4 linked regions of the Drosophila melanogaster genome follow. The protein of the gene in region 1 interacts with the protein of each later gene in a pairwise test. Each region holds a gene or a part of one and is shown on either strand. Other genes may lie near its edges. The genes, in order: CG43691, CG2258, CG10274 and ebo.

Evidence for each region.
Region 2: the proteins of CG43691 (region 1) and CG2258 interact in a two-hybrid assay, tested with the Drosophila melanogaster proteins (one large-scale study listed by BioGRID).
Region 3: the proteins of CG43691 (region 1) and CG10274 interact in a two-hybrid assay, tested with the Drosophila melanogaster proteins (one large-scale study listed by BioGRID).
Region 4: the proteins of CG43691 (region 1) and ebo interact in a two-hybrid assay, tested with the Drosophila melanogaster proteins (one large-scale study listed by BioGRID).

The regions. Positions count from the first base shown.
Region 1 is NT_033778.4:13,388,258-13,395,399, reverse strand, and holds CG43691 (uncharacterized protein), read left to right. Parts: upstream 1-2,038; 5' UTR 2,039-2,181; coding exon 2,182-4,875; intron 4,876-4,950; coding exon 4,951-5,547; 3' UTR 5,548-5,905; downstream 5,906-7,142. Other genes in the region: CG4744 (uncharacterized protein), read left to right, coding at 1-657.
Region 2 is NC_004354.4:8,094,396-8,103,359, reverse strand, and holds the start of CG2258 (uncharacterized protein), read left to right. Parts: upstream 1-1,905; 5' UTR 1,906-2,291; intron 2,292-3,288; exon of another isoform or gene 3,289-3,651; intron 3,652-3,743; 5' UTR 3,744-3,835; coding exon 3,836-4,009; intron 4,010-4,069; coding exon 4,070-4,219; intron 4,220-4,291; coding exon 4,292-5,491; intron 5,492-5,549; coding exon 5,550-5,747; intron 5,748-5,817; coding exon 5,818-5,926; intron 5,927-5,988; coding exon 5,989-6,198; intron 6,199-6,286; coding exon 6,287-6,459; intron 6,460-6,525; coding exon 6,526-6,717; 3' UTR 6,718-8,964.
Region 3 is NT_037436.4:6,177,287-6,184,032, reverse strand, and holds CG10274 (uncharacterized protein), read left to right. Parts: upstream 1-2,203; 5' UTR 2,204-2,265; coding exon 2,266-3,184; intron 3,185-3,238; coding exon 3,239-3,852; intron 3,853-3,917; coding exon 3,918-4,976; 3' UTR 4,977-5,356; downstream 5,357-6,746. Other genes in the region: D19B, read left to right, coding at 1-102, 163-1,616; CG7376 (uncharacterized protein), read right to left, coding at 5,389-5,551, 5,608-5,768, 5,826-6,057, 6,115-6,230, 6,291-6,676, 6,737-6,746.
Region 4 is NC_004354.4:469,704-478,442, reverse strand, and holds ebo (ellipsoid body open), read left to right. Parts: upstream 1-1,863; 5' UTR 1,864-2,046; coding exon 2,047-2,049; intron 2,050-2,150; coding exon 2,151-2,674; intron 2,675-3,129; coding exon 3,130-3,285; intron 3,286-3,362; coding exon 3,363-3,745; intron 3,746-3,936; coding exon 3,937-4,133; intron 4,134-4,224; coding exon of another isoform or gene 4,225-4,242; coding exon 4,243-4,679; intron 4,680-4,737; coding exon 4,738-5,287; intron 5,288-5,353; coding exon 5,354-5,523; intron 5,524-5,591; coding exon 5,592-5,801; intron 5,802-5,881; coding exon 5,882-6,317; intron 6,318-6,510; coding exon 6,511-6,609; 3' UTR 6,610-7,424; downstream 7,425-8,739. Other genes in the region: CG13373 (uncharacterized protein), read right to left, coding at 367-430, 512-836, 1,152-1,296.

The sequences.
Region 1 (7,142 bases):
CCGGGCATGGACCGCTTACTGGCGGTTCTGGAGAGGAATCGCAAGTGTGAACAGAAGCAGTCCAAAAACTTCTATCAAATCCGCAATGACAAGACCGAGAGTTATCTACATCACACGGAGACCATGTTGCGGGACACAATGGAGGCGATTAGCAGCATAATTGATGAGCAGGTGCGACGAAGAGCATGCATTCCTTTGCGTCCGGATCTCCAGGACTTCTATGACCTAATTCTCAAGACATCCAACGAGCAACAAAAGTGTCGTGAGAAGCGACAGAGCACACTTCAAATCCTTGCCGAGGATTTCAGTCAGGATGTGCGATTGCTCGATCCGAGTAAGATCAGCCAAAAGTCGAGAATTGTCAAGAAGTTACTGCGACAGTACGAGGATCTACCGATGGAGGATCAACAGGCGGCGGTTGGAGTGCGTGATGAATTGCTCCTGGATCTGGTTTATCTCCAGAAGATGGCCGAATCCGCAGAGCGCAATCAACGTAACGCCCGTTTGCAGGAGGTGCTCAAACAGACCAGCCTGGACGAGGTCCTGGAAAAGAGTCTAACCACCGAGTACTCACCGCGTTTTATAAAACTGCTAAAGACGGCGGAGCTTTATAAGGAGGCGGGCGAGCAGCAGGCCAAGGCATTTGTGGGTCTTTAGACCGCTTTAATCAACGTTTTAGATTTTTGTTTCAATTCATTAGTTGTTTTTTTCAATTAAAAATTCCCTTTGTTTGAGTTAAGTCATATATTTTTAACACATTTGAAATAAGCAACAAAATTCGTTTGAATTTATGTCAATAAATATTTTGAATAACACTTAGTTATTGTAAAATATTTTTAAGAATATAGTTTTATCCAAAGTAGTGCGAGAGTCCCAGATTGGCACCCAGATCGGTCTGGCCCTTGAAGGGTCCACTTGTCCACTTGGATGCCGTGCTGCCCAGATCTAGCCTTGTGTTGCGATCCTGCGACTGCCAAAGATTGGCACGCCCACCCAGCTCCAATTGCTTACCCAATCCGGGAATATTGGCGTGCGTCAGGGTAGCTCCATGACCTTTGATGTGGGAGTAGTCCAGTGCAGCTTCATTTCTATCGAACTTGAAGCCATTGGCAAGCTGATTCTGCGAGGCAAATGCCTTGGCATCCAGATTGTGAACACCGTTGTTGAACAAATTGGCGGTGGCCGTTTGCTGGAAGCTATCCCGCACACCGGGCGTATGGGTTTTGGTCAGTTCCAGGCCGTGTCCATGACTGCTCATGAAAAATAAGATTAGTTTCGCTATTGCTCAGATCGTAATCCTTTAAGAGACTCACTTGTTGTAGCCCAGGGTGGCGCCGCTGGTTACGGGAGTGGATACCGGTTTGGTCTGCGTGTTGCCCGCTGCGAACACTTGTCCAATAACATGGTGATCGGGAGTTCCAACGGCCTTGCTTAGGTCCAATCGGGCATCGGCACCGCCACTCGGATTGGATGTGAGTGATCCACCCAACACCTGGCGACGTGCCCTGTAGATTCTGGGTGGCGTCGGTGGTGGAGATCAGTGGCTGGGTATACGGACGTTGGGGCAAGGCCACCGCAAGGGAGCCAAGTACGCCAACGATGACCACAATTAGGAGAACAATTTTGCTCATCTTGCTGTATTAATCTCTTGATTTTCGATCTACTTGACTAAGCGGCTGACTGTTGACTGACGATGCTGGGATCTGGTCACCGTGAATTATATAGCAATCTATCTCTGAGTGGGGCTTCCCATCGAAACCGACAATGAATACCAATTTATAGATGGAAGATTTGTGATGCCTTATCTGTAAGCTGAGCAATGTTTCGCACTGGGATCCCCGAATGACCAGGTGGTTCACACCGTCTGATAAGAGATTGTGCATCCCCTTGAAACTACTTGCCGGTGATTTGCAAACTCTTTAAGGGTTTATTTTGAAGACAATTTTAATTAAATATATTTATGAATTTATATATAATAAAACAAGAATTTTAAAATAAAATCAATTTGAATTCAATTTATAATAACATATTTGCCAATGAGTAAGTTCAAATTTTAATAGAGTTAGCTTTTAAATTTTTTATGACATTTCATGACATTTAAGACTGTTTAAAAATCTAGTTAATTGGTATTCTTTGTATACACAATTCAGAGGATAAGGGATCAAATTCGATTAGTACGCGATGCAAGTGCCCCTGCTCCACCGGAGCACCCAGATGGTGCTGCTGAAGAAGCAGATCCGGCGGAAGGCGAAGGAGTTGCGTCTGCGAAAGCGTCACGCCCACCGCCGCCTTCAGGTGATGAGAAGGATCCGTGACCATCTGCTCGACAGGATGAGGAACTCCATAGATCACCGGCAGCGGGATGCGGAGCAGAAGAAGAGGGAGCAGACACGGAGGGCGGTGGGCGGTATGCTTTCCATGTACAAGCATTGGCTGCGCAGCTGGTCAAAAGCTTTAAGGTTACAAAGTCAGCTAATTCGGCACCAGGAGCATGTAAAAGTGGGAATGCGTCGCAAACTTCGACACTTGAGGAGGCAGTTGAAGAAAGTCCGCAATCCAAAGAACTTGGTCGACAAGTGCTTCCATCGACTGTTCAAGGCAGTTAGGAAGTGGCAAAAGAAACCGGATTACTACGAACACGTCAAGGATCAGGACAAGATCTGGGAGGCAGAGGCACTGGAGGTTCGAAACTATTTATCGGAGGTTCGGGGAAGGCGACCACGAAAGCTAAGCCGTGGCAGGGTTAAAAAGGATTTCGAAATCGAGGACTTTGCTAAATTTTGGAAAACTGAAGTGTTGCAAACAAACGCTATGATCAATAAACAAAGGGCCATGAGAGGAAGAAACGTGCCAGTAGATACAGCACATGATAAAACTAGGAAATCAAAGAAGAAATTGTGGAAAAGAAAAAAATTATATATCAGCTTAGATGAACTTGTTATTCGGAAAAAATTGAAAAGAATTCGGAAGGACATTCGAAAGCCAAAGAAACATGATCCATTAAAACCATCTTTAGAGGAACTGAAAATGTTGATAAGGGAACTAATCAGCTTCAACTGGAAAAAGATAGTTATTAAAAACCCGAAAATTAACAGAAAAGCCATAAGAAACCCCAAATTTGATTTTGACAAAATCTCCGATATTACAACTTTAAACCCAAAAGTACGAATAAAAAGAATTGTGAAAAGCGGACGAGCTCCCAGAAATGTTCCAGATCCGAAAATCATTAAATTCAAGGTAACAAGACCTAAACTTCGAAAGCGTAAAATGCACTATGTGGATAGGGTAATTAAAGACGAATTAAATGCACTTTTAGAGACAAAGGCAAAGAAAAGGGGCAATCGTCATGGAAAAACTAAAGAAGCTGAAACTTTTCAACAGGAAAAGGAAAAAAGAGACTTGGAAAAGCAAGAAAATGTACTCGAAAGATTATATAATGATATACCCCTATATATGAGGCGTGATATTGAGAGAAGAAATAGGAAAAAACTACGTGACAAACTTCAAGCTTCTAGTTCGAGTAGTTCGATTGCGTCCAAAGAGGTTTTCATCGGATCCGAAAAAGTGGCCACTAAGTCGGATAAGCACAAAAAGCTTTCCAGTACGAGCAGCGTTTACGTAATCAAAGACCGACCCGAATTATCTGCCGAGAGGAGTGGTTCTCATGTGTTATTCAAAAGGGATAGCGTTGCGTCCCTCACTGAATCACTGAATAAATTAGTTATGGGCAATCGAAACCGAAAATTTACCCGTAAATCTATTCGCATGCCACCCATCATACCCAAGAAGATCCGCGTTGCTCCTCCAAGAGGTCAAGAGGAAAGTCACTATCAGTCTTTGAAGAAGGATATCATGTACCTTCCTACAAACAGCGAGCATATGGGTGTATCTAGGATTACAGCCAGCGAATCAGCTCTGCACAGAGGGAACCAATCGAACAGGCATCTTCCACGAAGGGCTTCCGATACCCAAGTTGGTATTTATCCGACTAAATCCCAAAGCCAAGTTTTTGGTCATCTATCTTCGAAATCGACATCCAAAAATAAATTTAAATATGATGCGCTGCCAGATGATCTTGAAAAACTCCTTGCACCGGTGCGAGATCGCCACGACAAAACAGAAAATGCCCCAAAGCCCTACGTCAAAGAGTTCGAATTCGAACGGTTTCATTTGAAAGATCTACGCTCAGATGCCAAATTCAAACACTTGCAGTTCCTCCTTAAGGACGTCATACAAAGAAACGAAGTTATCGAGTATATTGCCGATGTTAATGGACTTATGCAGGAAGTAGCTAACCATGAAATGTGGTCCCATCTTCAGAGTCTCTACAACGAACTCACAGATGCAGGAGTTACGTTAACGCAAATTAAGGAAAGTCTGGCCAAAAAGTACTTGGAGTATCTTAACGAAATAGTGACCGAGAAGAACTATGCACGAATGGAACCGCCGCGGGACAATATGCTTAACGTTTTGGAAACCGAATCTATGAAAGCCAAACAGAAGAAAGAGGTGGAAAAGTTTATGGAGCGAAACTGGTGGTCTAGGAAGCGGGTCAGCACACGGCTCATTCCCTTCGGCATGCGGGGAATAAGGACGAGCAAAATTGACCCATCTCACAGCTCACGCCAGTCGCAGGAAATCAAGATGAACGGCGGAATGTACAATAAACTCCTCGAGCAGGAGCTCAATGCAGAACGATTGGAGCGCGAGGAGCGTAAGAGAAGACGCTTTAGCAGCACCTTTGGATCAACTATAAGCTTCAACAACAGCTTGGATCTGGCGGCCAACGAGGAGCAGGATGTGCGGGACATCGAGTGGCGCTACTCGCTACACAACATTAGGAGCATGATGAACCAGCACCAGCTGATGTTTCAGGTGGGTTAACTATACTCAACCGCCAAAAAGTTATAAAATAACATCTTCGAAATACATTTTTATTCTTTCTTTCAGGCTTTGGATCGCAAATCGCGAGTGGAGCAGTTGGTCCACAAGAAGATGAAGGGAAAAGTCGAAGAATTGTATACCTCTGCACAATTTAGGCGTCCTAAATTCCGTTCCACCACTTTTACGGCAAGGAAGAGGAGCAAAGATCTTAGGCCCATCGAGGAACTTTACTACTCACCCCGAAAAACTTGTCGCCTGCAGAAGATCTCCTGTTCCGCAGAGTGTTTGGCATGCGAAGGCCAAGTTGAGAAAATTGGTGATTCGATGATCCTGGACAAGTGTCCTCGGTGTGGAGTAAAGGTGCCTGTGCCCGCGCCCACTACCCCGTTCTCCATGTCGTCCTCGTCCAGCTGCGAGATCTTGTCCAGCGGATCCATAGAAGCCTGTGCCAAGAACAAGCTGCTAATCAACACGCTCGAGGACCTTTGCACACGCTGTGGCTATGTCCATAAAAAGGGGCATCTTTGCTCACAGTTACCCATGAATGAGCGGAAGACCAAGCTTCTAAAGCGGATTAAGGGCACCGTACCTACTGCTCCCGAGTGCCCGGCATTTTGCTGCCCACGCGGGATCCTTAAGAATACCAGAAGTTTTGATCCTTAGCAGGGGCGACAAGGAGTGCTGAGTACTTTTGAAGCCACCAAAGTGGTAACTAAACTCCGGATATGCACGGATATGAGCACCACCAAATCAGCCGGCTGAGGCGAATGAAACATTTGGTTTAAGTGCTAAATAAATTCAAGTAATGAGTTTGCCTCTGTCTGTGGGTGTGCCTGTGTTGTTAAATGCTTTGCCAAGTTTCATAAAATATGCAAGGACTTTTGCACACACACACACACACACATTGCACACCAACAAACAGGGCCAAGCTCATGCGATGCACTCACGTAGAGAGAAAATGTCTGCGGGCTTTTAATACACTTGCAGGATGCTCCTTCTCCTGGTCGTGTTCCTTATCCCCTTGCTGCTCCACCCACTGCTCCCCCCGATGCTCCTGCCACGACTTCTCGCTCATGCAACGAAATTTCATCTTGCCTCCTTTTTTTTTCGGCCAAGTTTTTAAGTCGAGCCATTGCTGTAATGGAATTTTATTGCATACTCGCACTCGCATTCTGTTTGCGCAAGCGAAACATGTTTCAGACATTTTCATAAATGAAAACGCTTAACTACACAGCCGCCGATTGGCCGAAGATCAGGCAGGCTCTCAAGGAATTTTCCGAGTAACAGATCCTATATTTCAAAATTGTTGCAATTAAAATGGAACTGTGCTTACAATGTTATTGGTTCTTCAGTAAGGATATTCTCATTTAATTTAGGACATTTTATGTATTTTTATACCAGATCAGTGGATATTACTTACTGATTTATAAAGCTTGTAAGACTGCATTTGGAAATCCTAATATTTGTTAATCTAGTTCTTGCTCTTACAAATCTGCTTATTTTTCTTTTTTCATTTTATATATAACTTGTGACCGAATAAATTCCTTCGAGTAACTTAACCCATGTGGAGACATCGCTTTAAGCCATAATTAAAGCACTTGGTGACCGGCAATCGACCGACTGTCGAACGCAAGGCAATAACATTTCTGCGAAATTGATGCCCGGCGATCAATCATTTCCCAGCCTACGGAGACCAGCACAGGATACCGGCCACTTGGCACCCTCCTCCACTTTCTGCTCCTGCTGCTGGTCCTAGTTCAGTTCTCCGTCTCAGTTTCGACTTCCAGTCCATATCCTCATCCAAATCCACATTCCCATTCTACTCAGCAGATTGCTGGCGTGGGGAAGTTGGCGTAAGCTGAGACGTTTTCATTTGCATTTTTCGTACAAATCGCCGGGAGGGTTGGGGCCCAAAAGCAAACTGCCAAAACCGAATTCCATTCGAGTGTCCGCACAGTGCCCGTGGTCCTGCCCAGCATCTCCATCCCACCTCCGATTGGCGATGACTGCTGTAACATTATCTTGTTTGCTCATGACACGCGACGCGGACCCAGAAAGTCCCTTCATGTCGAATCGTTTCCGGCCGTTAGCTGCCCGCTATTGTCGACATTGGGCACACGAAAGAAAAATGTTTAAATATTTTTGGAATCAAATAATTATTATGTTGGGACTCAGAAATTATTTTCGAGTGGGTAAAAGTTCACGAGGTTCTGCAAACTATTTTAAAGCAATTGAATATCAACAAGAAAAAGGGTATA
Region 2 (8,964 bases), on another chromosome or scaffold:
CGGAGCAACATTTATCAATATTATTTTTAATAGCATAATTTCAAACGGATTAACAATTAGCGTGCACCAAGATCCTAATTGTGGACAAATGTTTTGCGGCCGTGCGTGACCTTTTGGAAATGAAAGTCAAGCAGACCAGGAAGGAGGAGGCGACGGAGAAGGAGAGGATGGATTAAGGAATGGTTATGGGGCACATGAGGATCCACGTGCCGTAGGATCCTCCGCCAGCCACGATATCCTCCAGGAAGTCACCATGCTCTCGTCATCGTTTCGATGGAACTTCGAGTTCCTCGAACCGTCGATCGCAGCCGATTTGCCATAGTTATATAGAGAGCTAAATGCTAAACCAACTATATACCAGCGTCAAGAACTACAACGGCAACATAAATCTCAACTAAGTGCCGTTCCACGAGACCTACAAAAATATGAATACATATAGTTCAAAACGAGGCAAGGTTAAAAGTGTATTTCTGTTTGTTTTCGTTTATATCATATATATTTATTATACTATTCCTATTCTTATAAATGCAAGTACAATGAAAAGTTGTTTATTTTTTTTAATAGATATATTTACACACACACACACACATACACACGCAAATACACATTTGTTTAAAAGTGGCCTGCTGTTATTAAACTAGATATGATAAGTACACATATAACGAAAAAAACAACACTGTGCTATTATAATTTATTGTGTATGTGATTGTTTCCCCATTATGATACGATTATGATTTATTGTGACCACAAGCAAGCAAATAAACGGAAAATATTGTTGAATCTTTAAACTTAATCGAATTGGGTCGTCCAGGACTTAGGAACTTTTTATATGATGCCTTCTGAATCAAACAAAAACTGTACTTATAAACTATTTACGCCTAGTGAACGTTATTACAAAGGGGTTTCCCCTGTGAATTGTAGTCTAAAATAGCAAATTGCGGTTATAACTAATCAAAATGAAAAAATAAAAACAATATATATACTACATATGTGTGCCACAGGCAAAACGTTTAACCAGAAAAAAAAACTTGCTAGCATTTAAATAAACATTTTTATAACGCATCCCAAGAATTAGCTTGCCCTTAAAATCAGTATTTTTATATAAATCACTACACGTACTGTCCCCCACAAACGAGTTAAATATTATATGCAAATAAAGAAACGTTTTCCTGAAAACCGAAAGAGATCGAGCTTTTTTTCAACATTTAAATTCTAGCGCCAAGTTGGCAGCCCACATATATCTGATATCGATAACGATAACAGGCCGGCATGCCCCACCTCTACATTAAAAGGAGAAGAGCAAATAGGAAATAAAAACAAGTGATTGGATAATTTTTGTTTGTTGATCCCGCTGTCTTTGTTTGGTAAAATGGTGAAAACTTAGTTAACGCCACTTGGATGTGCTCAAATTTTGGTTAGTGTTATTCGTGGCTTGTTTAAAACAATATATAAACAAACTCTAAACGCCGTTAACCCTTGTGCGCGTGTGTGTTAGCTTGCGGCTTTTTTTTGGGTGTGGAATAGTTTGTTATTGTTGTTGTTGTAAACACATATGTATATCTGTGCAACAACAATTTGTCGCTCATACTTTTTAGATACAGTGCTCTCTCTTTAAAGCGCATAACAAGTATTTATTTAAATAAATTTTGAAAACTAAACAATTGCCAAAGAGTGAGTGCGGTTTTTAAACTGTTAACATTCAAGAAAATGTTAATACAATTGCAACACTTCTTGTTGCTAAAGTTTCGCCTTATCGAGTGATCACCGCCCCCCACAAGAATTCCCTTTCCGACCATCGCCCCTCCCCGGCGACAGACAAATAGACAGGAGAGCAAAAGAGACATAAAACAAGTGCATCGCATTTTGCCAGGAGAGGAGCAGCATCACCCTTCTCGCATCGCCCATTGCATTTCGCATCTCGCATCATTGGAATTAATCAAGTGAGCTTCTCATTCGCGTGCTGCGGCCAAAGGGAACAACAACAAGTGATGGAGCAGCGGAACTAGCTGTGTCGCCTTCAAAAGGACATCGAAAGCACAAAAGAGAGGAGCAGCAAACACGCCCATCGTCGGAAGGCAACATAAAGCACACACATCCACACACACACACACACATATGCAAACGTCCTTGGCTCCTGGACGCCAACAGCGGATGTGCGGGAGGGCGCAGGACGAAGGATAGCTGACGTCTGAGACAGGAAACAACAGGAAGAAGACAACAGCAGCAATAGCGACTACAACAACAGCAACCGACAAACGCAATTACGGTAAAAGGTGCGCCCAACAACATGGGTAAGTGAGCGGGGCACATTCTCATTGCATCCTTTTTGTGTTGTGCCCATTGTCGCATTTCCATACATTACACCCATTCACCGCGTGTCCTTGTGTGCGTGAGTGAGTACAGCAGCCCTGCAGTTCCGAAAATCACTTTGCATTCGAGAGCATTCACCAGGTGAATCATCGGCGACAGAGGGGCCTTCGGTCCTATTGGATGTCCAATAAGATTTCTTTTGGGGCAGTCCTATAGGAAATACAAGGTTTTCTTTAGAACAGTCCTGTACATCTATTACTATCCTTTGTAATTTGTAACTACACAACACTTGTTTATAGTAAATTTTGAAAAGTAGTTGATTTTGAAGTACTTAAAGCAAATGATCTAGTTCATTTTAGGTTTTATTAACCGCAAAATATTTGAAAAAGTGCGAAAAGCCTAACTTTGAAAACGTCCATTAGTATTGTAGCTTTATTAAAAATTAATATACATAAAGATATTTGTGAAGATTTAATGCATGCATTATATTAAAACCACAAATGTGGGCCACAAATATTACTGTTATTTGTACCGCTATTCACTGGCTTATTTATGAACCGGTTCACTCTTGCACGGATATCCTGCGAGAAAAAAGTGTGAGAGAAAGATAGAGAGAGAGAGAGAGAGGGAAATGCGCGCGCGTGGAGAGAGAAAGCACGAGTGGGCGGGGCAGTGGAGGGGGCGCTGTGTTTTGAAACGGATTTGCTCGTGTTGAGATTTTCACACAAAGCAATAAAATAGGCACCCAAAGAAAATTTAAATTTAAAAAAAATCTAAATTTGTTTTTAAATATATGTAAAAGTTCTTAGGACAGAAGTTGGACTTGAACACGTACCTTTCTCTCTAAACTGTTCAAAATAGTGTATAAATTGAATGCACTTTGTGCTTTTTTCAGTGTAGCGTGGAGCGTAGAGAGCGCAGAAGCCACGTGGCTCTCTCTGGCGTGTTTGTGTTTGTGGGGAAAACAATGTAAGCTGAAAAGGATCAAAAGCGCAAGGCGTTGTTGCAGGACCTAAAAGCAGCGCACAAAGCAGAAACGGGAAAGGCAGGAAGAGCGAGCGAGTGAGCGAGCGCAAGTGAAATATGAAAATTGCATTTTCCTCTTCCTGTGTGGGGGTGCTCCATTAAAAATTCCACCAGCACGAGGAGTATCCTCTTTGACGGCTCCGTGCGAATCCTGCGGAACTCAGCAGTTCGCTGCAGTCCAGTTTAGTGGCACGAAAAAACATTTTGGAGCATCAATAAGAGTGTAGCCAGTGCCGTCAGTCCGCAGTTTGGCCCTCGGCAGTGAACTTAACTTTTTTTTTTAGCGCCTGCTGCAGTTTTTCCCCGTGTGCTTGTGTGAGTGTCGACGCCCTTAAAGTTTTTCAAATTTTCCAGCTTTGAAAATCACTTAAAATCAATCCGTTTCGATTTAATTCTTTTTATTTTAGCAGAGGCAGCGGCAGGAGGTGGCCCTGGTGGAGGAGCAAGTGTTCCCAGTGGAGGAGGTGGCAACGACATCGGTTTAGGCATCGGCATCGAGATGCTCAAGGCTCTGTACGACTTCCAGGCGGTCTATCCGAAGACCATCAGCTTCGATGAGGGCGAGTACTTCATCCTTTACCAGACGTCCGCCCGCCAGCGCAATTGGTGGCAGGTTGTCAGCATGAAAGGCAACATTGGCTTTGTGCCCTCCAATTACGTAATGAAGATTAAGGTGGAGTACATCGCTCACTAGTGGCTAAAAGGATTACTAAACATATGCAAATTTTGACAGGTGGAGCACGACTTTCTCATCAGCTTTCTGAACTCCTCGATAGAATCGCTGGAGAAGTGCACGGACCATGAGATCAATGGCATCATGTCCAAGGACGAACTGCTGGACAGGCTGCGCGAGAAGAAGCACACCATGGAGCGTCTGTATGCGGTGGGTAGATTCTAACTACTCGTATGGCCAAATGAATGTTATTGATGACCTATCTCCCCTCCTATCTTGCAGGAGAGTTCCGAGCGCGACGGTGACTCCTCGCTTTCCTATTCACACAGCTACAGTGACAAGGGTAGCCACCGGCACTCGCATCCCCATCCCACCCAATCCCAGACGCAGCTTCATTCCCAGCACAGGCAGCACAGTCCGCCGCCCAGCGGCGGCAGCGTTGGCTCCCAGCGTTTGGACATGAGCAAGAAGAGCATGTCAAGTCCAGCGGTGGGCTCATCGTGCGGCCTGCCCCAGAATCAGGGCATGATCGAATCGCCCAGCATGGGCAGCATGCAGTTCCAGGGCAGCAGCTGCACCATCCAGACGCCGCAGCAGCAACAGCCGCTCCCAGCACCGCCAGCACCAGCTCCCTCGCCATCGGCAGCATCGGCCACACCCACTGCGGCATCAACGAGCAAAGCGGCCACCGGCGGTGATGTCGCGCAGGACAATAGCATTACGTCGGAGCCCTCGGAGACGACAACGACCACTACGACGACCAGCGAAGATGTGGTCACCACATACAAGGAGACCAGCCAAATGAGCACCAGCCAGCAGCATAAGCCGCAAAATGGGAGCACTGCCTCGGCGTCCATTTCCGCATCTGCCTCGGCCTCAGCTTTGCGCAGCAACGGCGGCAACGGCAAGGCCAACGGTAGTGCCACAGCCCTGCATCAGGAGCTGCAGCAGGAGGAAGCGGACAGTGCGCCGGACAAGTCGGATGATGCCAGCGCCGTGCAAAGTGACGACGGTTGCCCGGCCAACGGAGATAGTGCGGATAATAGCCAGGCGCTGGACAGCATCGACAGTCCGTCGCATCGACAGCGCGGCCTGAGCCTGGGCAGAATCGAGGAGGGTGCCACAGGAGGAGGCCAGTTGAAGGTTGAGTCATCGGATGTATATCAGATTGTGGACGCCCTGCGGCGGAACACCAACCTCAGCTTCGATCTCTCCTGTGAAGCATTGCGCGTGGTGCTGACCAGCCTGGAGCAGCTGTACAACGGTGCCATCAATCCGTACCTGGAGGCGGTGGCCGTTCATGTCACTGGCAAAGTGGCCACGCCCAAGGAGCTGCTGGGCATTACGCACGACGCCAAGCGCTTGCAGTATCTCTTTGCCCAGCTGGCGGACTGCAAGAACGATACGGAGCAACGCACTTGGATGCTCTACGAGGATGAGGAGGACATCATTCAGTTCCTTGAGGAGCTTGTTGAGATTTTGGTAGGAACTAGTTTTTTTTTTGTAACTTTAAATCTTAAACTTATATCACTCCTTACAGATCAATGCTGATGAGAGCATCAGTTGCTACGAGATGTCCTGCGATCAGTACCAGATGTTTATCAATCTGGTGCAGTACTATCAGATGGAGACGCGCTGGTCCATCAAGCGACTGCTGCTTAAGACCTTTACGGCCGCTTGCCATCTGGACTATATCATTGTGGACATATTGCTGACCTCGGTGCTGCCATTGGAGATTGTAAGCAGGAGCTCAGATTGTGCCACCTAATGGTTTTCTAAGTTTAGAACTTAACATACTTAACTTTCAGGTCGAGGACATGAAGACGCACTTCTCCAATCTGGATCGCTTCAAGCAGCTGGTCAAGATGCTCACTATTATCTTCTCACTTGGACAGCCCATGCCGGTTAATCATCAGGGTAAAAGCTATCTTAACTTATTAACCAATAGTTGCATGCTTATACTTTGATGTCTATTATAGATTATTTGGGCGTACATTTTGCCAGCTTCCTACTGGAAATCGTCGAGGGCAATAATCCGGAGGTCTTGGTGGACATGGTCATTGCCTTGATCTTGGCCTTCAATCAGCAATTTAGCGAACATACCTATAATGTCATCATCGAAGGTATGCAGAATCTGCCATCCGCCAAAGTGTTTACGGAGAAGTTGCTACTTTTGCTCAATCGAGAGGGTAAGTTTTCAATTTTAAGCATACTTTTTAATTAACTACAAAACATAAGCATGTAAATTGGATCGATTTCTTCTTGAATTCTAACCAGATGATCCCACACGCTTGCTCAAGCATCCCAACGAGCATATGAACACGGTGCTGCGAATGTTTATCGACATATTCAGCCATCCGGATACGGCGGGCATGTTCTACACGAATGACATCAAGGTGCTTATCGATATAGTGGTTCGCCAGCTATCCGATTTGGATGCCGGCAGTACGGTGAGTCCGCCAAAAGTCAATGCAACTATAGTGCTCCCTACTAAGTACACTTTAATTTGGTTTCAGACGCGACCATGCTACTTGGAGCTTTGCCGACGCATCCTGCGCAATACGAACTATCAGGAGCACCAGCATCGCAAGCATGATCTCATGAAGATCTTCACGCGCATCTTCTGCGAGGAGACCGAGTGCAGTGCCTCCGATCAGCAGCTGGTGCGGGAAATAGCGAACGAATTTCCGCAGCTGTTCAAGGCCTAAGGATTATTGGATACGTATACCAAAACAACAACAAAAGCCCAAACCAAAAAAAAAAAGAACAAAAAACACGGAGGGAAACCAAAATTGTAAAGCGTTGCTAGTGAGGCGAGCCGTTGAAAGCGAGCCAAACCTTAAAATCTCAAATAATTTCAAGTTTGATCAGTGCATTTGTTATGCGTTTGTTTTAGCGTTTCGGTCTAGGATAGCCCTCGTCAAAAAAAAAAGTCAAATATTGAAAAGAATGCATTTCGATCCATGCCGGATCGAAAGGGAGCACACACGCGACTCTACATATATCTTATGAACATAGTCTGTAAGCAGGACAAATGTACTAGTTGCATGTGGAGTAGATGCAACCTCATAGAGATGATAACCCAATCTAGCGATCTAGGCGAAAGAAATGAAGCTATAGCCTATAGCCCATATAGTCTAACACTAAATTATCCCCTGTTTAGGATGATTTCACTAATTTAGAATTTAGCCAGGGACAATTTTAGCCAGAAGCAGAGTCAGAGATTAGCCTCACTTTTAAATTTTTATAGTTCCAATTGCCCATTTGTTTGGAATTCAAAATTTTGACAAAACAAAAGAAGATGGAAGCATAAGAAAGAATGAAATCTTTCGAGGAATATAATATTTATAGCCTAATTATACACCTATAATGAAAATATACATTCATGGCGAATGCGAATGAAACGTTAATTGCAATCTACAAGTAAACAATTGATATATTAACGATGTATGATCGCAGTATTTGCAGCTAGCAAAATCCAAATCGATTCGAATGTAACGAGCATATAATGTTAAATTTGTTTATATAATCTATGAGATGGAGAACTAAGCCGAACAGGAAATCATTGACAATTGTTAAAGCTCAAATACTTATTAATTGGAGGCTAAGGAGGCTGGAAATTGAAAATAATTAACTATGCAAGAGCATTGAAAGTTAGGACAACCATTTGCATTTCTCACTCACTAAAAGACACGAACACACTGTGGCACTTGCATTTTGAAGGTATACAGAATTCCGAATTATATTAAAACAAATTATTGCAGTACCAGTTTTATTTTTTTTTGTAATACTTGTTAATACCTTTTCTTTCTGAACTATAGGGTTTTAACCTCCAGCAAACCAGCCACATTTTCTCTATATATCTCTCACTATTTATCAAGAAAAAATAACAACACAAAATTCCCAGCGGATCCAACGAAAAGATCCATAATTTTAAATTTTAATTTTAAGGCAACTCTATTGTATTTGTTATGTTATTTAGTAGTTAGATTCGAAGAGGCCTAGGACCTCTCAATCTAGTTTCAAAGCAGGAATATTGTATTTATTTCTGATAGCACGATCCGCTGGGATAAGTTATATCTATCTCTATATAAACACATACAGCCAACAAGATAACAACATAAAGAGTTTTGGACAGATTTCAATGGCCTATCTTTGTTATTGTTACGTCACAGTTATAAATCTTAAAAGTTAAAACAACGAAGCTCAAATGAAAATTAACATTTTAGACCAGATTAGTAATGAAACAAAATTAGAGGGCGGAAACCACATATGATATATATTCTTCATTGGATTTGGTTACCTTAAACGTAGTATAGAAATCTTGATATCATTCCACTTTAAAAAAGCAATACCCTTTTAAGTTTTCACCCCCTTCAGTTAACGAAAAGTGGTTTAGAAAACACTGCCTATAGCTTAGGAAAAAATTGAAAATTCGCCTCAGCCTGAATTGAAGTAAAAGTTAACGTAATTATAAAATTCAACATTTTGCCATAAATTTCTATTGTGGTTTCCCCCCTTAAAACCATTGCGATCCAATTTGATTTAAGTTTTAGAGATTCCCATTGTTATATTGTTTAAGAAACCAATTTTAATCAAAACGCATGAGCATAATATTAAAAGATCTATTTAAAAACCCCTGTATGGATCTAATTTTTAAATTAATATTAAAATTGAGACAAGCTGCGCTGATTCATGAACGAATTTAATTTGCCAAGTTTCATAACGAATAGGAGTATTTACAAACAGTTAAAAACTAAACTAAATCAGAAACTAAAACCAATATTAGCCACGAATTGTACCTTTCGATTTTGAATTTAAATAACACTCTCGGTATTTGCAAGAAAAATAAAAGAAATAAATAAAAACAATAAGGCAAAGAGTAAACGAAGCTGCAATAAAAACAATTGATGTTTAAAAGTACTACGTTAACAAAAACAAACACGTTTTACGTC
Region 3 (6,746 bases), on another chromosome or scaffold:
TCTGCCACCAGAAGTTCAAGAAGGCGATTCGCTACGAGGAGCACATGAAGCATCACAACGACTTGCTACCCTTCCAGTGCACCGTCGAGAGTTGCCGAAAAGGTAAACTCCGCCCGCAGATCCTCGAGAAGTAGATTTATGTGATTATTTTTCCAATTTCAGGCTTTACCACCGCCAATGGACTGCGCGTCCATGTGGAGCACGCCCACACGGAGACATCGGCTATGCATCCGTGCACCTACGAGGGCTGCAACAAGTCCTTTGCCCGGCCCGTGCTGCTCAGCTTCCACATGAAACGCGTGCACAAGGTGGACACCCCGCAGAGGGACTTCCCCTGCACGGAGTGCGAGAAGGTCTTCCGCTGCCCCACTGCCCTCAAGAAGCACATGTACAAGCACACGGGCGAGGAGCTGCCCTTCGCATGTGAAATTTGCGGCAAGCGCTTCCCCATCAATAGTGTGCTGCGCGACCATCTGCTGCGCCATGCGGGCATCAAGAACCATGTGTGCCCGTACTGCGGAGTGGGCAAGACGACGCGCCAGGAGTGGAACAAGCACATCCTTACCCACACGAAGGAGAAGAAGTACGAGTGCCGGCAGTGCGACCACGCCTCCCACAACAAACAGGCGCTGGCCAACCACGTGAAGGTGGTGCACGAGAAGCGCAAGGACTTTGCCTGCCAGTACTGCGGAAAGACCTTTGGCAAGTCGCACGCCTGCAAGATTCACGAGAGAAGTCATACCGGCGAAAAGTGCTGCGAGTGCAAGATCTGCGGCAAGGTGTTCCTCTTCGAGAAGGGCCTAACCAAGCATTTGAAGACGCACGAGAAGCGTGATTTGCCCAAGACGCAGGGGACCAATGCCTTAATGGGCGACGGGGCCAGTGGATCCTCGACAATAGCCAAGCCCAGTCCGCACCTGCGTGGTCGCGTCGAGCGGGTGGACATTGCTCAGTTGGCGGGAACGGTGGCCAATCCAATTCCATCGGTCAACCTGCCCTCGTGGTCGCCGCAAGTGAACTTCACCAAGAAGGAGGGCCAGCATATCTGCCCGGACTGCGGCAAGGGCTTCAATCACGTGAGCAACATGAAGCTGCACTACAAGGTGGTGCATCAAAAGGTCAAAGACTTCTGCTGCCGCTTCTGCCCGAAGAGATTCGCCAAGAAGCAGTACCTGCGGCACCACGAGTACATACACACTGGCGAAAAGCCTTACGAGTGCAAGGTGTGCGGCAAGCATTTCCGGCAGGAGCAGGTGCTCAAGACGCATATGAAGGTGCACGACAAGCCGCCCCGTCCGCCTGGCAAGCCCAAGGAGCCGGCTGGACCCAAGGCGGAGTCCAGCACCGCGGTGAAGCGCCAGCAGCCGAAGAATTTCGAGCAATACCAGGATCCGGCGGCGGAAAGGGCAGCGGCCACCGCCGAGCTGCTGGCCTACCAGATCGAGGAGAACGAGGCCAAGCGCAAGGCGGAGGCGGAGCTCCGGAAGATCCAGGAGGCTGCCTTCGAGCAGCTAAACAAGCTGCAGAAGCAGTCGAACACTTACGACGGCTTCTACGCGCAGAAGGCGGAGGCGGAGGGCACCTCAGTGGACGCACTGAAGTTGGATCATGTTTGAGCGGCAGAATCAAACGGAAATGCTTGCGAGCAAACCCGGCCTCCGTTTCCGATCATTTCATTATGTGTTTCTATGAAGGACATATGAGTTATAGTTCTCTAAGGATTACCAACTAGTTTTCGTCACTTTGCAATTTGATCTTTTTTGTATTTAAATCCCCCCTTTAAACTGCTTAAGTTTGTACTTTACTAATTGTATTCATTTAACAATGATTTAATATAATAAACAGTAATAAGTATTGAACATTTGAATTTTAAATTCGCCCCAGTGCTGGTAAGCGGGTATTGTTGGTAAACAAGACAGAGGTGAGCTGTAATGCTGCCAACTCGTCTGTTTTTTAGCTACATTCCACTAGCTATGCAACTTATATGAGACACATATAAAACTACGTATTTAATTTAGGTTAATACATACATTTATTAAGAATCACACTTAAAATGGCACATATTTTTTAAAACATTTGAAATTTGTTATTGATGCTATCCATATTTCTAGCCGGTTTAATAATTTAGCTATTAAATAACTGTTTGTACTTGGCATCACTGTGGGGTATTTTTTGGTATTTGTTTTGGTTCGTCTGACGCGTAAAGTTTTTCTCGGCTTAATATTCCGCGGATTTGGCCAGCAGATTCCCCCTGGAACAGGCATCATGCAGGAGGAGGCCGAGGCAGCCCAGTACTCGGTGCACGCGGTGTGCCGCATCTGCCTGAATCGCCTGCCGGAGAATGGCGGCGGCGCAGGATCCTTTGACCTGTTCCTGATACCCGGATTGGCCAAGAAACTGTGTGTCTGCACTTCGCTGGCCGTGGAGCAGTCGGATGGCTTCCCCAAGTGTCTGTGCGCGCAATGCTTCAGCCGGCTGGACGATATGCACGAGTTCCAAAAGCTGTGCGTGGACTCGGTGCAAAAGTTCCAGGACATGGTGGCCAGGAACGTCTTTTGCCCGCCAGCGAGTGCGCAGATGAAAAACTTTGATTTGCTCAACGTGGCGGGGAACGAGCCTGAGCTGGTGGGGCAGGACGAGGAGGATCGTATCAACTTCGATCCGCTACTGGATCACAAAATGGAGATGATCGAGAACGAGGAGGATGTGTTCAAGATGTTGGAGCACGTGGACAAGGAGGCCGAGCAGGTGGAGAAGGAAGTGAAGCAAGATGAATTGGACGCCGCCGATCTGATGACCATCTTTGCCGCGGAATCCTCGGAGGAGAGCGAAGAAGATATTGACCAAGATGTGGACTTTGAGCCCAACAGTAGCGATGGTGACGATGATGTGCCTTTGGCCCAGCGCTTACGGGATAATTCGCGGATGATACCAAAAGCAAAGGCAGCCGTAATTAAGGAAGAGGACCAAGAGTTCCCAACAGGCTCCGAAGAGGAGGACGAGGACGGAGAAAAGTCAAAGAGTCGACGCAAGAGGATTCCGCCTGGCGAACGGCACCTGCACCGCATCATTGACTGCCACATTTGTCACCAAAAGTTCAAGAAGGCCATCCGCTACGAAGAGCACATGAAGCACCACAACGACCTGCTGCCCTTCCAGTGCAAAGTGGAAACCTGCAGGAAAGGTGTGTAATGATGGCTCCAAATCGCATTCTCGTTTTGATCACTGGCATTTACAGGTTTCACCACCGCTGGAGGATTACGACTTCACATCGACCACGCCCACACGGAGCTATCCGAGGTGCACTCCTGCAATGTCGATGGCTGCGGCAAGACCTTTCCGCGCATACGCCTGCTCACCTTTCACATGAAGAAGATGCACGGCATCACCAAGGCAGCGGCGCCCCCACGGGATTACCCTTGCACCGAGTGCGAGAAGGTATTCCGCTGTCCCATGGCGCTCAAGAAGCACATGTACAAGCACGACGGCAAGGAGTTGCCTTTCCCCTGTAACATCTGTGGCAAAAGGTTCGTAATCAATAGTGCTCTAAAGGATCATCTGATGCGGCATGCGGGCATTAAGAACTACGTGTGTCCGTACTGTGGCGTGGGAAAAACCACCAGGCAGGAATGGAACACACACATACTGACGCATACCCAGGAGAAGAAGTTCAAGTGCCACATATGCGAGCACGCATCGCACAATAAGCAGAGCCTGGCCAACCACATTAAGATCGTGCACGAGAAGATCAAAAACTATGCGTGTCAATACTGTGGAAAGACCTTTGGCAAGTCACACGCCTGCAAGATCCACGAGATGACGCACACGGGGGAAAAGCGCTGTGAGTGCAAGGTAAGGGTAGAAAGATATTTTAAGCCAGCGTCGTCATTGCAACGTTTTGTTTTTAATATTCTTAGGTTTGTGGAAAGAAGTTTCTCTATCCTAAGAGTCTGACCAAGCACTTGAAGACTCATGAGAAGCGTGTGCTTCGTGCTATTGAGACCTACCGCCAGCGGCAGGTGGAAATGGGCGAGACGCCTGGTGAACAGTTCGACAATCCACCCGCGCCACCAGTTGAGGGCATATCCATTGAGCCGATCATGTCCCGAAACGCTGCCGACGAATTGCTTAAGGTGTGCGCCGAATCCGTGGCCACCATTCCCAAAGATCCACGCCGTGTACAACGAGTGGATCTGGCGCAGTTGGCTGGCACTGCTGTGAACCCCATACCCTCTGTTTCAGTGCCGTCGTGGTCGCCGCAGGTGAACTTTACCAAGAAGGAGGGCAAACATATCTGCCCCGGTTGTGGTCAGGGATTCAACAATATCGGAAACATGAAGCGGCACTATAAGATCATCCACGAAAAGGTCAAAGATTTTGCCTGCCGCTTTTGCCCCAAAAGATTCGCAAAGGCTCAAACGTTGAGGCATCACGAGTGGATTCATACGGGCGAGAAACCCTTTGAGTGCAAGACCTGCGGCACCCATTTCCGCCAGGAGACGGCGCTGAAGCGCCACCAGCGCACCCACGAGAACCGTCCACCCGTCATTTCGCCCAAGTTTTATGCCGCTCGCGAGGAGCTGGAAGAGCAGGAACGCAGCAAGCGAGAGGCGAAGCGCCAGGCGGATGCGAAGCGGCGCGAAATTGCGGAGGCGGCCAAGGAGCAGCTATCGTCGCTGCACAAGCTTGAAAGTAGTGACCGCAGCCTGCACTCCTACGATGAGTACCAGGAGGCAGCGGCGGAGCGAGCAGCGGCATCCGCTGAACTCCAGGCGCAGCAGTTTGAAGAGAACGAAGTAAAGCGACTGGCGGAGGAGGAGCGCCGCAAGGTTCAGGAGGCTGCCTACGAGCAACTGCAACTGTTGCAGCATCAGCAGGAGGTTGACAAGGCGCAAAGCTCCTACGATGGCTACTACGCTCAAAAAGCACATGCCGATGGCACCACTTTGGATGCTTTAAAAATCGATCATGTCTGAGATTTGGCCAGCGTTTAACGCTGTCACAGATGGTAAATCAATCCTGGGTTTTTTTTATGAAAAGCAATACCTTATAATCCTTATGAGAACAGTGTGTGTAAGATGGATATGATATAGTTTTAAGCTGAAAATATTCTTTAATACTATTTAATATAATGTCCTTAACTGTAGTACAAATAATACTGTACATTATTCAGGAGAACACAGAATACCTATGTGAATTCGACTTAAGTTTAATGATTCTGGTCTGAATGGAGAGGTTGCATGTCAAATATCATCTTTTCAATAGATGAATTGATTGTGGCAGTTATATATTTATATATAAAGATTGTTTATAAGTAGCTTAAAAAATAAATTTGCCCTATTAAGAGCTTAAATCTAATCGGAATTTTTTGTTTTAAATTCATAAGTTTTACTCCTCCTTGAGTATGAATAGCTTCTTAAGGCTGTCTAGTGTCATGTTCTCCAGATCCCAGTGGGTCGACAGCGTAGTCGTGTCATCGGCTGAAGTAATTAGCGATAGAATATTCTCCTCAATCGTTTCATTCACAATGAAACGATGCACCTTCGTGGGTCTAAAAACAATTGTATTGAAACTGACAGCAACTTCACTTCAATAGCGCGCACTCACCTCTTTTGCCCAAATCGGTGAATACGACCTATGGCCTGGCGCTCGTCTCCCGGATTTAGAATGGGTTCGACGAGGAAAACATGTGTGGCTTCGATCAGGTTCAAACCCTTTGAGCCTTTGGACAGTGGCATTAGTAGACAGGTAACATTGCTCAACGGATTCTAAAGGAGGAAAAATGTTTAGCAGTGATAAATTAAATTTAACAGCAAGATAAAAACCTTGAAATCATCAAAGTCCTTATTTGTGCACTTATTGCGGAATTGAATGCCGTTGAGACTGAGCGCTCTGGCAATTTCAATGAGAATCGCCTGCCATTGAGAGAATACAATAATCTTTTCCTGTTCATTTTCACCCTTAATTTTCAGCACTAATTCCACAACACTTGAAATTTTTGTAGAAAAGTCACCAATAATTGACTTGTGGGCACCTGGGCGTACCGAGTAATACAACCTATAAGAAATACATGGTTACAAGCGTAGTCTGTGAGGGTTAATGACAAAAGCTTACTGTGGCGAATCTTGCCGACAAAGTGGACACTTTGTGACGCCGGCTCGGCCGTTCTTCCTCCTCATGCTATCCAGGCAGTGCTGGCACACAAAATGCCCACATACCATCATCACATACTAAAACGAAAACAATAAGTCCCGAGCGTAGAAAAATTTGTTGAAATTTTAGCTACTTACCCTCACGTCATCTTGGGTTTGGCAGATGGGACACGGTTTGTCCGCGGAATCCTCTTTCAGATGCTTCAGGTACTTCAAACGACCGCACAGTCTCGTAAAGTTCAACTGCGATGTCTGTAGATTATACTGATTGAACTGTAGCTGCTCGTCCAATTGGCACGCCAGTATTCTGTAGTTCGATTGCTCCTCAGGATCGTCGGTGAGGAGGATGCGCATCTTGCACATTTCCAGTTCGTCAAAAGCCTTAACCATATACTCCACCTCGATCCAGTACTTGATTTGAAACTTGACCAAGTCCTGTAGGCAGGACAGCAATTCCAGTTTGCTCTGGCATTCCTCTTTCCATTCGCTAAAATCTTGCTTTGACCGCAGGAAGGCAAAGATAGCTATTTGGATATAGAATAAAGTTATTCCTGTTCTTTAAATAGGTTTTTATGCTTGCTTACATTTAATGAA
Region 4 (8,739 bases), on another chromosome or scaffold:
GTCCCTCTCACAGGAGAGTCCCTGGATTGCCTTCTTGGCAGCATGTTGGATGTAGACATCAAGTACTTGATCAGCCACGGCGGCAGTTGGCAGCTATTTGTGGATCTGTATAATGCACTCACAGACAACCTGATTGTGCTGTTAAAAGAACACAGTAACCTGATGTCAGACCGAGCAGCCCAGCCCAGTCTCCTGTGCCAGGATCTCATCCAGGCTATCGGCCGGAAAGAAAGCAGTTACAGGACATAAGTGAAACGGAGCTGGTTGGTAATACATTTGACATTGTGTCGTCCCAAATTTGTACTGCTTCAGAACTTAAAATTTAACAAGCACCGCGACTTTATAAGTGCTGGATTGTGTAAAGCCTTAGCTGAAGAACATCTGGCAGTGCTCGCACAGGGGATCCTTCTCTTCTTCAACTCGATTACCACTGGAAATAAGATGATGGTCGATTGATTTTCAAATAAAAGGTGTTCCCAAGGGGGATGCTTCTTTTAAGGACTTAACTCACAATAAAGTCACGCAGCTGCGGCAAATGAACCTGGAGCACTCGCCGCAGGAGTAGCCACACTCCTCGCAGAGATCCATCACGCAGTTGACGCATATGTCGTGGATGAGCGTTTGGCGCTGGCAGCAGCGCGATTTCACTCTCTCCAGGCGCGGATTGGACAAGTCGGTGCGAAGGTTGCGCAGAACGATGGAACCATCGCCAAGCAGATAGTACTGCTCGCATAGGGCGGGCTCCTCCTGGCCTTGTACCAATGGCTTCAGGGCATTCTGGCCCTGACCCTGCCTATTGCCGGCTGCGCCATCGAAAAGCATTTTGATTGTCTTCTCTGCGAAAGAAATAGAAAATCGGAGAGTTCCAGTTGAGTTAGACACTTAAAGGAGGGTTAGACACTCAGCTTCGATGGGACGTGCAAAAGAACAGCAAGAAAAAAATTAAAAAAAAAAATTTATGCGTAAATTCATCGTAAATTAGAGGTCGCTGCTTTGCTCAATTTTTTGTTCTCGCGTCTAACTGTTCAAACTGAAGTGAGCAACAAGTCCGGGATAACTGCGCTCTGAGCGGCGCTATCTCTCCAATCTCCCACCCCTCCATTACAGGATCGAAACAAGATAAGTTGGTGCGAATAAGGCAATTTACATACCATGGACCTCCTTCATCTTCCGAGGATCACGGGAGTCGCACATTTTCTGGTTCACAAATACCTTCCGCTGCGTGAGATTGTTGTTGGCGTCGCCATCCGCTGATCGCGATCGTTTTGCCGCCTTTTTACGGACCTGGTTTTCCATGATGAGATACTGGCAGATTGTTGGGCAGATCGGATAGGAACGTCTTGAAATATCAATTGAAAATCCTTTACTTTCAGGTTTCCTAACTTGCAGGCTAACAGTTAATCAGTGTCCCGTTTTGCTAACAATATTGCCTTATTAGAATAGTGCTACCATATTAAAAAATACATACAAAAGCGCCGACTGCGATCAATTTTTTTATCGTCTATCGATCGAATTTGCGGTTAGGCGGAAAATTCAAAATGTTTCTGGTTATGAGCTGTTTGGAATAGTCCAGCATTTTTAATTTATCAGATTAAAATGACTGAAAATATAAAATTTATTACATTTGTATAATATATATATATATATATATATATATATATTTGTATAACTATGGATTTGAATTGGATGCTTGTCTGCTCGCTCGTAGTTTTAGCTGAAACATTTATATAGCCAATTTTATTTAAAAAAAATTTTGTTTTAGGTAATTAAAATAAGAAAGGTAGAATTTTTTTATTTCAAAATACCCATAACCAACAACTATCGATATTTATTGACTATCGGCCAGGGTTGCCAGCCGTGCGGAATTTGTTCACTTTCCCGGAGTAGATTTTGGCCACCTTTTGTGTAAAGACACAAAGAAAACCATGCAATTAATGGACGCCGACTGCTGATGCGATCGGAATTAGAACCGCGAGCAAGCGGAGCTCACAGTGACCGTAACATCCAGATCACAGATACTCGGAAGGATCGTAAAGGACACGGAAAATGGTGAGGCGGGGGGCTCCGGGCCAAACGCACTATTTTGCCAGTGATTCAGAGTGATTCCACCTAACCGGGAATTGGTTTCCACCCACCCACTGTCTGTGCAGCACGCCGCATCTTTGACGACGGTGGAGGGACTGCTGCAGGAGTTTTATCAGCCCAGCACCTCCAATGCCCGGAAACGAGAGATCGAGACAAACCTCTTGGCCTTCAAGTCCCAGCCAGAGGCGTGGCAACTTTGCCTCCGTGTGGCCACCTCTTCCGACACCACGGAGAATCAGTTCCTCTGGTTCTTCAGCACCTCAACCTTGGAGCACACAATCACGCGGAGATGGACACAGTTGACGTCCACGGACAAGACTTTGCTGCGGGAGACCCTTTGGAACTCGTATGCCCAACTGGTAGCCACTCCAAATGTGGCCAAACGGCACAGGGACACACTGGCCCAGTTGATAGCCCTACTCGGAAAGAGGGAGTTCCCTGAACAGGACCCCAATTACATGCAACACTGCATGGAACTGACAAAAACACGGTTTCAACTTGGCATCAACCTGCTTAAGATCACCTCCGAGGAGGTGGTAAGCAACAGGGGCGACCTGACCACCGAATGGAAGCAGTACTTCTACTCCTGGTGGGTAAATAGAGCGAAGAGGCTAAAATCGTATGTTTTTTAAAAAAGGTTTTGTAGTCCCATACTTTTAATGTCTGTTTAAGACTACTTGGATTTTTAACTGAGTACGGCGTATCAGATGGTCGATGTTTTCGAGCATAGCGTATTTTTATTATTAACTTTGGTGTTATTTGTTTAAATACACGATTGCGTCGCACAACATAGAATAACACAATCCCAGACCTTGTCAGTCCGTTCTTGTTTTTGGTTTATTAATAAGTGTTATATTGAGATTGAGTATGTATATGGCATAACAACTAAAGTCAGCTGACCTCTTAAAACTCAACTAATTGAACCGTTAACCCAGTTATCATATTATATTGCTTTGTTGAGAGAAAGCACTATAATTACTGGTCAGTTGCCACAGCACTGTTCCTAACCCATTTTGTGCTCCCTTTTGCCGTGTGTTTCTGTAGCATCTCCATGTGTGTACCCGATGTTCTGGACCTGGTAACCAAGTATCTGCTAATCGCTGTATGCCACATCAATGGCAAAGACATCCAAACAACCATACCAAACACCCTCATGGACTTTAGTCTAACCTCAGCGCTGCCAAATGACAATCAATTAAGGTGGGTCATCATAACATTCAAAAGAGCATATGTTCATTACAACATTTTGTTATAACATCTCTCTATATACTCCGCAGTTCCTCAATTTTGGACCTGCTAGGATGTGTGCAGCACTTGGTCTCCTGGATACGCACTGAACTGATCTCGGAGTACTTCCTTATGAGCATACTTGACCTTTCCCAGTGGCGACCAGCCCATGAGCCCATCTCCTTGGCGGCTCTCTCTGTGTTGAATGAGCTCCTCTACCTCCAGAAGCCACTGCCCTTCCCAGGACCCTTGATGGGCGGCGTTACCAGCCTCCTGGAGCAGCACAATAACAATCGGCGGCAGAGCGAGATGTACAGCGACAAGTTTCGGGAGCTGCTGCGCCTCTACACCACCAAGTATGCCGCCAAGCTGATGCAGGAGCCAGACCTGCTGGAGACCTTTCTCAATCTGCTATACAGCTGCACCACTGAATGTGAGTCGCGTGATAAAAATATTGCCTTTTGAGATGCTAACTTATTTTTTATTTTGAGATGATCTTTTTGCTGTGTAGTCATAAAACACTCGCAATATTAAATGGGTTATGTGCATCTCGTGATCGAGATTTCGAAATGTCGTTGACAAAGATATATAACAAAAGTTATTAATTTTGTATTCCCCAAACAGTACACGGCGCCTTGGACTTCACCGAAAAGCTTGAGATCTGGACACCCATCATCAAAGGCATTGCCCAGCACCCCGCCAAAATCACGCGTTATAACAATGTGCTTACCCAGCTAGTAGATGAGATTATGAGGCGCACTCAGTTTGAGGCCAACAAACCCGAGCTAGAAGTGCTGGACAACGAGCTCATGGAGGACGATGTAAGTAGCTCTGATTTAAAGTGTTTTTAGGTGACAAATTTCAAAAACCAAGAAATAGACCTTGCATTAGAACGATCTTCATTTTATCTAGACATTCATCCAATTTCAGACCTCCGCCACTGAGTGGCAGCAGTTTCTAGACCAATGCTTCGAGTCCCTGGCCCTACTGGCCAACACCAGAGGTGCACACATCGTTTTCGCACAGGTCTATAACCACTGGTCACGGCCACAGATGTATTTACTGTCCTTGGAGCACGCATTGGACCACGGAAGCGCTCGAAGCTACGAAGCGGCACGTAAACTGAAGGGCGCCAATGTGGGCGAGATTTTGCGCGACTTTGCCACCGTCTGCCAGGCGGTCGTGCGTTTGGCCCCATTGATGGACTCATCAACAGCAGCACCCGGGGTTGCTGATGAGATGGAGTGCCAGCTGCAGATGCTGTCCGACAGTTTGCTGCAGACTCTACAGCTCCTCGCAAGCAATCGTTTGTATAGCGGCGGCAGCGAAATGGACAAAGCTACTTTCCAGACTGATTTGGACAACCTGTAAGTGGGGCATCCCTTTGCATGATGTATGTGATACTATGCTTTCTTGATCCTTCAGATACGCTCAAGTTCTACTGGCCATGAGGAGCATCTTTCCGCTAACGAAAGCCATGAGCGGCGAGGAACTGCTGCACCGCCTGTTTGCTATCCTGGGCAGCATTTTCGCATGCAATGGATCCTTAACGGCTGCCTCCCCCATTGTGCAGCAGGCGGCAAGCGAGCTGCTGCTTTTCATATCGACTGTGATACGGCCCAAGTGCCTGCTGGATATACCACAAATCCAAAGCCTGCTGCAGGCAGGCTCTCGCTTGGGCGCCCAATTGCCGCGTCAGGTGTGCATCAATGTACACATCAGTCTGGTCAGCTACATGGTGCTGCCGTGGAAAAGCGTTCCGGAGCAGCAGCAGGAGTATCCGAGGCGTCTCTGGATGCTGCGTGAATATGTCCAGGGGCTGGCACAGAACTTTCTGGATCTGGACTTAGGCCAGGCCAACGAGAGCAAGGTGGCGGCCACCACGCTCAGTTTGCTGGGTACTTTCACTGCTCTCATTGAGTATTTTAAAGCTACTGGAGGCAATGCCAAGGATATGCTGGCAAGCACTTTCAAGGTGCCTTATTTTTTTAAGTAAATTTAAACATCCTATCCTAATCTATTAACGTTTTTTGTTTTCCAGCCTATTTTAACAAAGGCCCTAATGATTTTTAACAACTTTGGGCAAAGCAGCATCGCCATGGCCATCACGGTGGCCGAGTTTAGCCTGAGCATGCTCCGAACATTGCCCACCCATTTGGGGGCCCAGTTCATTAAGGAAATGATCACCTTGTTCATAAGTGTCAGCAGTAGGTGGGTCTCCCATCTCTTTCTTTACAGTGTGAGTGCTTACTAATGATGCCATCTCTTTCTGTCTCCAGGGAGCAACTGACTCTGAGCCGACTGGCTGTGATGGAAAAAATACTGCAGATGTTCAAGTTGATCGTGGAGCAGCCAGGGAGCGCCTCCTTGGGGCTGCTTCCCTCCATTTTAGATTTTAGCACTCAGCAGATTCTGCCCTTGTTGCAGCAGCAAAATGCGGCAACCGATAACAGCGAGATCACTAGCCTGTTGTACGCTTTGTTTGATAGGTGCGTGATGCTGCATAAATTAAAATAAATTGTACTTGTGTCTTGTGTCGTCATGAATTAACGCCCTTTCTCCATTTTAGTGTCCTCACCTGCAAGTGGCAGTTCTTCTACAAAAATCAGCTCTCCAATGGTCACAGCGGTGGTGGCTCCGGCAACTTCAACTGCAGCGACAACCTGCATCCAGCACACTTCATGGCCATCCTGAATGCGTATGGCCAGATGCTGGTCAGTGGGACTGATCCGAGCAATGTGCGCAGCGTTCTCTTCTCAATGCAAAATGTGAATGAGAGGAGTCGGTTGTACCAACGCGCCTTGTTCAAGGAGCAACTGCTGGCTTCATTTCAGCGGGCCTTGCTCAATCTGCTGTTGAGTGGAGAGGGCTCCCTCCACTTCGACATGATTGCCCAGGCGTTGTATGCTATGGGCCAGGTGGACCGACGCCAGTTGCTCGAGAGCTTCGTTCACGCCTCTTTGCCAGTGGCTCAGACGTCGCTGGAGGAGATCTGCCAGACAAATGTGAGTCAAATACTGAATATAAAGGGATCGACACCACTTGCAAGGCAAAAAAAGAAACTGTCTTCCATTTATGATTTAAGCATTCTGTTACAATCTTACTGTCCATGTCGACTTGTTTCAATTGTTTCAATCAATATAAACACAAAATTGCAAGTGGTGGTGACTCTTCCATGACTGACTTTGCGTTTAATAGGTACTACCTTTTATTGTTCAGGACATTCCAACGTTTACGCAGAAACTCACGCAGCTCATGCAGGACGCCCACTGCGTGCACCTCAATGAGACGGCGTAGGCCTTCCTTCCCTCAAGCGCGGGACTTTAACAGCTCCCCATCCTTGTTCCGTAAACCACGGCCGCATACGATTAGGTTCTTGCATGTATATAAAGTACTATATTGTTTTATTTTTGTAACTTTTAAATGTAATATGCTGTCGCATTTTGCATGCCATATTTCCCGATACTGTCTGTCATCTACTTCAGGTCCTTTGTCTTGTGGGCCGTGTCCCCAAAGCCCTATGTTCTAACACCATCCCACCAGATTGCGTTTGGTTCTTCCTTGTGCGATGTTGTATTTCTGTTTAGAAAGCTCAGCATTCGTCCCGATTGAAAAAGACATTAAATGTTAACTTAAAACAAGCTTCGTACATAGATTTAAGTGCATTATTATCTTTAGTTTTATGTCTACCACGTAACGAATATACGATTACTCTGCTTTCTGTGCTGTCACCGCAACTCGATAAAAGTCATACTACATATACATACCTACATATATCTTAGTAGCATATACATTTATATCCATAAATTAATTAGCATATCTCAACATGTAAATCAGTTACGTTGTAAGCAAGTATAAAGTATCAAGTAAGAAAATAGCTGGAAGGGCCGAAAAACCCAGGTACGAAATTATGTATGTAATTTATTTCGGGAAAACCTAACACCACCACCAACCAAAAGTAAATTCAAGGCGTTTAAAGTCCGTTGTAATGATTTGAACTATGTATGAATGTATGTATGTATGTATAATTGCTTAAGTCCTGCAATCAAAAGTCCAATAAAACTATTTTTACCATTTTATTCGCCAGTTGTTCGCAATTAGATATGTATTTGATTAGCATGACATTTATTAAAGTCTAGTTAGTATAATCAGTTATAAAACGATGGGTGGCACGTGGCTTTATAGGAGCAAATGCAAATTTTGCTCTCTTTTCATACTATGCATACATAGGTAGACATGTATGTATATAAAAGAGATCGAATTATGAAACAGTTATCTTTCATCTCTCTTTTGTTCCCTTTCCTTTTCCACTACATCAACTATCGACTGTTCGAGCTTTTAATCCCGTTACTTTGTTCTAAAGTTGCCTGAAATGTAACTTTATTTTGACTACACTCTGTGATTTCAGTTATTCCGGTCAATTTGGTGAGTGCAGTTTGATATTGGAGGCCTACATTCGGTTGGACTACGATTAGTGATAAAACGGCGAAATTAGTTAAAAACCATTGTTAGAGGTTTTCGTAGTGTGTTTTCGGTGTCGCTTACAGTTTTTGTAACTGTGGTTTCAATAAATGCTGTTAAATATCTGACGCAAATGTTCGGTGTAGCTTACGGTTACTTTTACATGTGATGTACATACATATGTACATATGTAAATAGCGGTCGTGTTATTTCATTGTATTAAATCAAGCAACAGAGGCAATTTATAAATAAATTAGAATCTCAGGTAAGCTATAGGCAACTTATTTTCAATAAATTGCTTATCATTTCAACATCCATAACCTTAATCATTGCAAACTATTACTAATAGGATTTCCTATAAACATAGACCTATGAGTATAACGTTAAATGTTATATGTTTAATTACTATGCCTTGCGCACGCGCTCAAATAATCAAAATGCCATAAAAATAAATGGTAATAAGAATCACTTATAAAAACAATCGGATAACGATGGAGGAGCTGGAGGATGTTGCGGACGAGGTCCACAAAAGAGACAGCTTCCTTTTCTTTGTCTGTGGCTTACATACTCTCTTGTTTACTCACTCGATATTTCCTTTTGCATACTTTTGCTCAGGTGTCGAGGACAAAAGCGCCGAAACCAAATTTAATAAAAAGCGAAAGCAAAACAAAGGAATATCATTAAAATGTCAGGAAGCGAGGCAAGAATCACCCACTTCCGCTCACCAGCAGGTAAATGCCGTAAAATACAGGTAGCCGAACAGCCAATGGCTGGTTTGCATATTCTAGATCCTGGCATCAAACGTACATCCGCAAGAAGTAGGGTTGGTGAAAGAGACAGTAGACACATTCACTTTTCATTCAAATGTGTCGCAAATTTCGCAAAAAATAGCTATTTTTAGAACTACGGAACTAAAAAGTTCGTTAAAAGAATTTTACGCTGTTGAGGTGTTTAAACGAACTGACG